Linked DNA regions of Coturnix japonica. The protein of the gene in region 1 purifies or fractionates together with the protein of each later gene. This does not show direct contact. Links are inferred from orthologs where the notes say so. Each region holds a gene or a part of one and is shown on either strand. Other genes may lie near its edges.

Region 1 (3,088 bases):
TGGTACTGTAACAGAGTTGTGCTGTTTACAATACAGGATGCTTGGCAGGCCTTGAACGTCCCAGTGTTTAACACTGGAGCATTTTATGCCCACTGACAATGCTATAGCAGCACAAAGCCGGGCCCAGCAGCCTTATGAATTAGCATATGTGACCAGCAGCTGCCTCCAAAGCACGGATCTGAGCACTGCTTTACAGCAAGTTATGAATGCTTTCATTAATGGTTACATCAAAGCAAGATTACCTCAAAGCTGATAAGCCATCAAAAAAAAACCCATCTGGATTTAGGTTCAGATTCAACATGAGGAGCCACTGGCTGGCGCTGACCAGCAGTTTGCATTCTCATCATTTAAAACAGAACAATTTCATTTCAGTTCACCACTCCCTCAGTTCTGTTACTGTTTCTCACACACTCATAAGTGACAGGTTTAGTTTCAAACATTTAGAACCGTCTGTAAATACAAGATGAAAAGCCCTTTATTAATTCAGAAGTGAAACACTGATATTTAAAGTGAGATAAGTATGTTTATTAAGGTTCATTCTACTCTAAGATTTATACAGAGAATGGAATGCAATACAAGCTAAGAGCACACCTCAGATCTACCACAAAACCACCACCCCCCTACTCCCTATAAGGGAACTGTAAAAAAATTAAAATAAAGATCAGGAAACCAGTTACTGTTTAACTAACTGCAAGTGGCTTTGTCCAAAGAAGTCAAGCTCAATATTGCATTAGCTTTGTATGCAATAAGAAGTCTCTACAAGCGGAAGTATCACATACATAGGCAAAAAGATCTCCCATGGATACACGAAAACCAGGTTTTCAAGAGCTACATCACAAGGGTAGTTTAAAATTGCCTAAAAACCAGCCACTAATGGCATGCACAGGTCAGTAATCTGAACTTTGGTAATGTCAGTTATTTTTGGTCAAACCTGGATTCCACTTTCAGCAAGAAAAAGGATAAAAACACACCTGTCCTGTGCAGAAAGCAACGCACATCCCATCTCTACCAGCTGGAGGCAGGACTTCAAGACACAGCAGAAGCATGCCAAGATTCATGCCAAGATTGCTGTCAGAAGCTCACTTGATGACCTAGATAACATCTTGCACTACTCACTGGCCTATCAGACAGGACCAACGGGACAAGGAAGAGGGCAGATCTTTTCTTTTTCTTTAAAATTGTACAGCTTTAAGTAACACCAATTTTCCAAAAAGCTTTTGTAAGAAAACCAACAATTTTCCTAAGCTTTACGTAGCTCCCCGAGACACGTTTAATGTTCCTTTCTGAAGCCATCAATACCCTGTAAATCACTGTTTGTTCTTCCTGAGGAAGAAAGCGAAGGTGGTTTTATTTACAACGGTGGAGTCAACGCTTAAGATCGTAACTGGACTTGGAACAGTTAAAAAAAAGTATAATGAAGATGACAACCTGAAGTGCTACTTCCCATACAGAATCCACACTTGGTTCAGTTTTATTCATTGCAGAGTAAAGTAAAAAGACACCCCATCACACTAATAAAAACGCAGATTGAAATTTATACTCAAAAAAAAAAAACCCACTACACATGCAAAGGGAACAATATCCTGCTAACGTAACTTCATTTGCTGCTGCGTTTGTCTAATATTAACAATTATGAACAGAGCAGTGCAACTAGTATTTGGAACAATCCTTACAGTGTTCGAGTATCAGGCACGGCGCTTCACTTCTCTTCACACCACTGGTTCTCCTTACGTACCTGGAAGAACAAAGCAGCTGTGATGTGCTGCAGAGCTTCAGAAGCTCAAGCGAAACGTAAACTCCCATAAGCATTTGGTGTTTACTTACTGTAGAAAGGCATAACATTATGAAATTATGAAGCATCACACGTTAATGCAGCTGAAAAACAGCTAAATTATTAATTTAATAAAGTCCAAATCAAGTACCTGTGCTTCTTCCTCTTCAGTGAAGTCATTCTTAATATTGAATGTCTTGCGAATTTCTTCTGGAGTTTTCCCCTTGATCATGTTGGCAACTGTCTTGCATGTGACATCAAGCAAACCTTTGATGTCCAAGTAATTTGCAGCCTGTAAAACAGTTTCCAAATTTAAAGCTTCCAGATCAACTTCCTGCCTCTGCAGATGTACAACTGAAGTTCTGCTCCCAGCACTGCAGATGCTATAACCACAAAGAGCCAAATCACTGCAAAGCTTCCAGCTGGAACCCTGAATTAACTGTCTACAGTTTCCTTGTCAAACAGGGGCTGTTTCCACCACGAAAGCCCCATCTCCTTTTACACAAGGATTTGGAACCTTGCACAGCTGAGACCTTGGACACCTCAGTGCTGTCATCCAGCTCAGACAGGAGCTGCCGGGTTGAAGAATCACATCAGAAACTAATCCAGCTTTTTTTAAATCCCCATTTCTGCAGAGCTCTAAAACACCACCACAAGTAACAAGCTGTCACAGACCCAACAGCCATGAAAGAGAAACAGACGGCTGTAGGGACACAACTACGGACAAGTATGGGAACTGATAGATAAGCAGGCATAAATTAGTGCCTAGCTTTATGTTAACGAGCATCCACCACTCACCAGTTTCAGCCAGCAGCCACTGTTGGAACTGCTGCCCTCCCCATATTCTCTGCATTAAGAAGTTACTAGAATAAGAAGCATTGAGCCTTATTTTTAAAGCACACAAACAGAGGTCACTGTGCAGGCACAGCCTTCGTGCTTCCACAAATACTTACCAGGATGAGTTCAAACAATGTTCCTTGGTCTACTTTCAGAAATTCTTGATCCCACACAGGGATGTCATCCGTTCTTTTCTCCTTGTTCTCATCATCCTCGGGAGGAGGTGGATCATCTTTGTGATGGGTGCACCACTGAATCACCTAATTACAGTTTTGATAACAAACTTTTACCCAGGTGACTTTCTCATTAGGCCCCAACTCTCACATAACTTTATTTTAGGAGCACTGTACTTCTCAATCTGGATTGATATTAGAATCACATGTTCATGTTTCATCATCTTATATTTGCCTCTTAGAAGAGCCAATCCCCAGACCTGTAACCCAGTAGTCATCCCAAAGCTCAGCTGAGACAGCAGCCAGT
Region 2 (3,652 bases), on another chromosome or scaffold:
CTCGGCCTGGAACAGTAGCCCCACAGCCCTGTGGGCGCTGTCCCTGCGTGCTGGGGGGCTGAGCTGCCCATGAGCCCTGTCCCCATCCCCATCTCTCTCCTCCTGGGAGCCCAGGCAGTGATGCTCCCATACTGCCGTACCCAGAAAGGCCGGTGACTCAGAACTGGAGTGCTCAGTCAGTAAGAGGAACGTTGCCACGTTACTGGTGAGTAATCCCAAAAGTTTAATGCAAGGTAGGGAAGGACGATGCTGCAGTTGCAGTGGGGGGTGAGAATGGGAGCAGGGGTTTATTTTGGGTTTCCCCATGCTGCCTCCTACCTCAGGCTGGGGGTTGTTGCGGGGGATGCTACACATCCCAGAGGGTGATGGGTGTGTGAATATGGGGTCAAACATCACGGCTGCTGCACCGCTCTGCTCGGGCCACCAAAACATAGGTATAAATCATACAAAACACCAGACCTGTCCCTCAGTGCAGCTGTGGGCTTGACACCGGGGATGGGGTTGACCCTGTAAATGCACACGCTCATGCTTCACTTGCAGCTCAAAGCCAGCTGCAGCAACCAGCATGCATCACTCATTTGCACAGCGTTTTCTCTCAGCATCCCTGTTGCCTAAAGGAGCAGCAAACCCACACTGGGGTAAGATGGCTGAACACAAGTGTTAAGGAATCACAGTGCTCACCAGGCACACGGCATTACCTCTTTGTAACTCAGCGCTGCCGATGGTCGGAGGGGAGGAGCGGGACGGAGGCAGCTCAAGCTCCAGGGTTTGAGGATTTTGGGGGGCTCCAGGGGACCACGGATCTGACCGGTGGAGCCAAATGTCTGAGAAAATGGATGAGAAAAAGCTCAGCCAGCACTGAGGAACAGCGGGCAGCAGGCAGGCTGGGAGGGAGCTCACTTACCGAATGGGTGCTCCAGGACTGTGTTTTGGACACGGTGTTGCACGTCCCTTTGGTCAACCTCTGCAAGTGCTCAAGCCACTCGTGCAAGTCCTGGCTGGTGCTGCAGGACACAGTGATGCGCTCCATCATGTTCCCTGCAACAGGGGGTCAAACAGCCAGCTTTAGCTGGGTTGGCATGGGGAGATGTCCAGAACGTGGACAGCACACAGTACAAGAGCAAAGAGGAGGAGAACTGGTACTGGTGGCAGCTGCTGCTCGCACTCAAGCAGCCCCAGGAAGAGGCCACACACTGACCTGCGATTTCAAACACATGCTCATTCCCTTCTGCATCTTCCAGCTTTGTCAGCGTCATTCCTGTTAAAGGCAGCCTTCCCTAGGAGAAGTGAGCAGGAATCAGTGTTTGCGACTGCCTCCTGCATGGGCGTTGTTCTGCTCCTTTCTGCTGATTCCCTTCTCTGGGAACTGCCATTAGAAACTATTTTGTGAAAGCCTCAGACTGTAGGAAGAGGTGCCTCTGATGTATGGATCTAAATTTCCCTGCACAACCAGGTTAAACCCCTGAGCAGAGGCTCACCTGCCACTCATTCTACTCACCCTTTTTACACTGAAGTCAGGACTACCAACTTTCCCTGGTCCTTCTGAACACCTTCCCTGTGCCTCTGCTTTGTGTGATGCACTGCCTGCTCACCTCCCTCCCACTGGTGGGTGACATCTCAAAACTCAGCCAAATCCTTCCCAAACCTTCACCATCTGCCTCATCACCTTCACATATGACTGTGAGATATCATCCACTAACAGGCAGTTTGTATGGGGAAAAACCCCACAGTGAGCTCAGGACACCCAACACACACCGAATGCTTGAGAACAGCATGCAGGACAGGTATTGGTGTGGTTCTGTGTTCTAATTGCAGAGCATTCACACTTCCCAAATGCTGTCTAACCCATTGGCAGCACAGAGGTGCTCGCAGTGTGCCCTGGCACATGTGGCAGAACACAGCCCAGCTTCCCAGCCCATTTACATCACAACAGAGATTCAAATTTGATGAAGAGATATCTGATATCCTTTCCACACCCGATGCCTTGCAGCTTCAAATCAAGCATGCCTACCTGATAGATGAACCCACTCATTCTCGGGCTTGCAGACAGCATGAGCAAAACGTTTGAAAACAACAAGAAATATCGCTCTTCTTTCTCCTGCCAGGACAAGAATGGAGGTTAGGCCAGTCTGAAGTGCAGCACAAGCACTCCCCTGCAGCAAACCAAACCTGCTGCAATTGCAGCCACGATCTGAGAGGGACCAACCCCAAACCACTCATTTTGGCTTTTTCTTTTCTTTACAGCATCTTATTTCTGCATTGGCTTTTCTGAGCAAACAGTTCCTTCCGCATCCTGCTGATTCTGAAGATATAATTGATTTCCCCTCCCCATCAGAAGACCAAGACCTCATGTCCCCAGCACCTCACATCCCAAACAGAACTTGGGGACTGGACTCTGCAGGGCTTTGCAGAACAGGTCATAGGGAAGCAAACAAGTCAATGCTAACAGGCACCACCCACCAAGCAGACACCCAGCACACAGTATTAATGGGTCTAACACTATTGATGGGTGCCTGCTGGAGGTACAGGTGTGACACTTAGGCAGTGGGTTCTGCCTGTCACAGAATGCATGCAGGACATGGCAACAGGTGTCATTAACAGATAGCAACAAGGCACCCTCATTTCTCATTGCTCAGAGTAAGTCATGGAGGAAAAGAGGGAAAGTAACATGCTGTGTTAACACAGCACTGGGGCATGATGCTTTCGTGCAGGAGATGCACTCACCTCACTGCCCCCGCTCTGCACCATGACCTGGGACATGTAGATGATGTTTCCCATTGTTTTTATGTCCTCTCCTTCCCAGCGCTGGATGGATTCAGAAAGGATCTGCAGCTCAAGCTGTTTCCTCTTCCTCAGCTCCTGGCACTGCGACTGCAAATCACCACAGAGCGCTCCATTAGCAAAAGGGCCAGCACAAACCCAGACCATCCCAATGAAGATGGTTTCACCCATCAGCCATGCTGGGCTCAGTTCTACTCCTCTACCACAAAAGGAACCCAGAATGATGACAAAAACCCAGCCAAGGTCAATATTATCACTCATAAAAAACAGCTGCCATCTTGTGAAATCATCACTGCTTCGGCTCTGCTTCCCAAACCCTGTCAAGAATCACACCACGCTGATTTATGGTGTAATGAATATGTTCAGATTCCAAACCAATTGCACTGAGCAAACTTTTCTTTCCAAACCAGCTCTACCTCTGAGAGTACAGGGTCACATTTTCCAAACCAAGGGAGCCGCACAGCTAAACGTTTCTCATTTTGCTGGTACTCAGAGGTTCATCCCATTTTGCTGAAGCAGCAAAGGGAGTTATCCCTGCAGTGGTGCACAGCCCCTAGAGATCAGATGTGCAGATATTTTCTTATCAGAATCTGCAGCGAGATGCGGTGCAGTGGAGCAGCACAAAAGGGAACTTCTGGAGCTGCACAAGGCTGCAGCGATGCTCACAACTGTGGACTGGTGGAGCAAATTCATACCAAGTGCTCAGAGGTCCCTCGTGGACTAAGCAGAGGCAGCACACAGCAGGGTTGTGCAGTCACTGCCTTCACCTTCTGACCCCAGACACAGTGGGCCCATGAGAAGCATCCCTGCCCATCAAACCTCAGACCCACAGCGAACCCCTCTAGTCCTACATTACATTGAGTTGCTCAGT
Region 3 (3,652 bases), on another chromosome or scaffold:
CTAAGCCAGAGATGACAAATGACAGAATTTCAGAAACCTCTGAGCCTTTTTCCATAGAAAGCTGTATGACAGATCTAGCACATGTTACCAGTTGCCACTGAGTTCTGTGTCAGTAACAAAACTCAACACGTACTTCATTTGAAATTCAAAAAGCAAAATACAGCATCCTACATGCTTACAATGCAGGTATCCTTTTGGACATAAGATGTCTCTCCAGACAGAGGAGGGCAAGTATGACCAGGTTTCTAGCTCCTTTTTATTTTTTTTGCCCCAAACATGACTGTATCCAAACTTACATAGATCACATTAGCATGCTTTTCAGAAAGCTGTTTTAAAGGTGGAAGTACGGGCTTAAGGAAGTAAGGCAGAACAGCATTTTGCACAAAAAGAAAAGATATCTGTAGCAATTTCAGATTACTGTCTTGGGTCATCACAGATAGTCTGCATTCATAAATTAAAACAACTTGACGAAAGGAGAAAAACTTATAAACTAGAACACCAGCAAAAGTCATGATTTGGGATTCAAAGAAACCTTCTTAATCAAACTTCCAAAAGAAACCATGATAAAATTAAACATCTGTCCCAGTACAGAGGATAATATATTTCTAATATAAAGAGCTTAAACTATGTTAACAGCAATTCTGTAGGTCAATCTGGAAAATACCTCTCTTGTCATGCCCTCCACCACGATTGCTCACTTTCTACTACAATTTAATGGTAAAGCATATTAAATGTTGTAAGCTGTACAGCGCTTCCAAACATGTTACTAATATGGTGAGGTCTCCAACATGTTTTCCAGTAGTTACACAAAGACTTGGTAGCAATGGAAATACTGTAGGTCATCTCTTCTCAAGCAAGGTACATTGGCTTTCAATAATTAAAAATACAAAGGAAAGGGCAGTTTTTCTCCAAGGGAAGAAAATTCAGAGATGTTCAATAAAGAAATACGCCATTTGCTAAGTTTCACACCACTCCTGTTATTTCCTGACACTGTTTTATGACCTATGTTTCCAGAAGGGAGGATCTGAAATTCTTCATCTGGGAAGGAAGCAGAAAAACTTTCTGAACAGCCCTAATACCTTCGCCATTCCTGCTGAATGGACGGGAATGTAACAGACAGTGTCACCACAAACAAAAACACCCAAACCTGCCTAAAAGAGTCACTGTCTCAACAAATGAGATTCCAAATGAGAAGACTACAGAAAGAAAAGTTTTTAAGCTGAAGGGACCTGAAGCCACCAGCAAAAAGTTTCTTAAACTACAGTTACCCTTTTCATTCTCAATTTAAACAAAGTTACTTTGTAAACAAGTATCTCCAGCACCACACCTTTCATAATTCAAAATAGACAAAACCATGCAGAAGTATTTTTCATGCAAGTGAAACAAACTAAAAAGAAAGAGAGGAACATCAGCAACAGAGAAAGAAAAAAGAGGATAGAATTTTACAATTAACAAAGTGCTTCAATAAACAACTTCTGGTACCCCTAGGTCCAAAAAAACACTGAACTTCTTTCTTACTTCAGATCCACATGTTACCACAGCTGCCTTCCTGTCACAGGACATCATCATTCCTTCTGCAAACAGTAACACTACTTTCCTTAATCATTCATGGGAGTAAGTCATCTCTCCAACACTTCCAGCTTGGGCAAGATAAAGGATTTGTTTGCATTTTCAAATGAGAAACAATAAACAATCCCTGGTGATACACAACACAAAGCCAGCTTTCCCTAAGATTTCATTCAATTCTTTCACTGCAGGTTGAACTACATTTAAGAAAGTCCAATTTAATGTCAAATAAAAGTAAATAAAGTATGCTAAGAATCAGGTACTAATTTCCAACAGGGTAACTTACCATCTTTGTTCAACCATTGTTTTCTCTGTCTGTAGAGTAAAAGCTTGTTGTGGACGTAGGGCAAAAGAAACTTGACACACCAGCTCTCCACACCAAGTTTGTTTTCCACAAGGACTATTGGGCTCCGATTGTATCTTGCTTCAGGACAGGGTATTAATCCAATTTCATCTCTTAAAAAAAAAATAACAGAAAGAAATGCAATTAAATTTACTTCCAGTATTTGACAATTATGTTTTTCAAAACTTCAGCTGTCAGTCCATCACCTTTCCCCCTGTTTATACCAAAATCTGTGCTCATTATTCTCAATTCATCTTTCTTGCTTCTACTCAGACTTGCAGGTACAATAAAATGCATTTTTTAGAAAGTAATCTCCTGCATAATTGTGCTGTCAATTAACTCAGCAAATAAATGATGCAAACACATTTTGGTCTGAATAAAGACCTAATCTGAGCAAAAAAACCCAAAACCAACAGAAAACCCATAATATTTTACATTGCTTTACAATCTATTCAGATACAACATAAAAGGTAGCTGTGGTTTTAGGAAGAGTCTCTGCAAAATGTGTATTATGTCTCCAGTACTGCAAAAGGAGAAAAACAGGAACACTTACAGACATGCTGAAGAGTCTCAATGTAATGATCATTACTAAATAAACAAGCATGAATTCAAAGTCCTTTAAATGCCATGTAAATTTTTTTTGTGATTCTGGACTTTCTCTACTTACTCAGAAATGTTATATAAGGTTTCCCCAAAAATCCTGAACAGAGAAGGTCCTTTTTATGTACTTATTATATTAAACCTTTAATCAACCATCTAGAAATAAACAAAGGATGGCAACTAAAATTCATACCTGCAAACAAAGCAGAAGCATCTCAGGCTTTTTAGTTTCAAGGGGCTATATTATTTTTTTCCTTAGCTTTTAGCATACACGGATGATGAAAGAGCAGTTCTTAAAAGTCAAAAACAGACTGCCAATTATTCACGCTCACTTGGACAAAAAGGAATACAATTCTACACTTTCTACCATGTGTGATTTCACCATCAAATTCTGTTCAATGGAACAAAACTGGAATGATGATGAACCTTATTTTTTTTCAGTACAAGGTCTATAGATACATCCCAAGTGTTGACCCCGTAATCTCAACCCAATTACCACATGCTAATTTTGTTACTGGATAATCTGAGGGTACTGATTTAGTTCACTGTCCTCAGTGGATTATTAGTGAAGCAATTGAAAATGACACCATGTGTTTGTTTAAGAACAAGTATACCTGCTTACTCAGAAAACTGATTTAATATGTCAGACAGCAAAAGAGCACAAATAACCTGAGGTAAGATACTTGCAAATTACTTGGCTCTGTCTCTAGACACACACCCAGGTCCCTTACCCATCTCTTCCATCTCTACTCATCTGAGAAAAGGGAAAAAAAAAGAAGAAAAAAAAAGAGGGAAACACTCAATTTTACTACCTACCGAACTGCAAGCAGTACGTGATTTCCACCTATATTGTTCCACTCAAAAAAATTAAGCCTTTCACAAAGATATTCAGGTTAGACTTATAATGACATTACAGACTGATGCTCTGATGCTTTCAATATGGTGCCTTATAGCTTGAAGTTTGTGCTTCCTGCTGTCTTCATTTCCTTTACAAAGGGAAGACCTCACTGTGGCTTTCTAGTATTTGAAAGGAGCATATAAACAGGAAGGGAACAGCTGTTTATGAGGGTGCATAGTGATAGGACAAGGGGGAAAGGTTTTAAACTGAGACCGGGAAGGTTTGCATTAGATATTAGGAGGAAG

What was found.
Region 2: the proteins of SKP1 (region 1) and ARHGEF6 purify together in Homo sapiens (affinity purification with mass spectrometry; 3 studies listed by BioGRID and IntAct, with this or other methods). This does not show direct contact. The link is inferred for Coturnix japonica from reciprocal best matches to the Homo sapiens genes SKP1 and ARHGEF6.
Region 3: the proteins of SKP1 (region 1) and PTAR1 purify together in Homo sapiens (co-immunoprecipitation; 3 studies listed by BioGRID and IntAct, with this or other methods). This does not show direct contact. The link is inferred for Coturnix japonica from reciprocal best matches to the Homo sapiens genes SKP1 and PTAR1.

Annotation. Positions count from the first base shown.
Region 1 is NC_029528.1:2,251,618-2,254,705, forward strand, and holds the end of SKP1 (S-phase kinase-associated protein 1), read right to left. Parts: intron 2,869-3,088; coding exon 2,725-2,868; intron 2,064-2,724; coding exon 1,923-2,063; intron 1,736-1,922; coding exon 1,700-1,735; 3' UTR 504-1,699; downstream 1-503. UniProt on the Homo sapiens protein: Essential component of the SCF (SKP1-CUL1-F-box protein) ubiquitin ligase complex, which mediates the ubiquitination of proteins involved in cell cycle progression, signal transduction and transcription.
Region 2 is NC_029519.1:4,241,808-4,245,459, forward strand, and holds part of ARHGEF6 (rho guanine nucleotide exchange factor 6), read right to left. Parts: intron 2,872-3,652; coding exon 2,725-2,871; intron 2,099-2,724; coding exon 2,012-2,098; intron 1,278-2,011; coding exon 1,199-1,277; intron 1,039-1,198; coding exon 905-1,038; intron 825-904; coding exon 699-824; intron 1-698. UniProt on the Homo sapiens protein: Acts as a RAC1 guanine nucleotide exchange factor (GEF).
Region 3 is NC_029547.1:31,243,816-31,247,467, forward strand, and holds part of PTAR1 (protein prenyltransferase alpha subunit repeat-containing protein 1), read right to left. Parts: intron 2,023-3,652; coding exon 1,853-2,022; intron 1-1,852.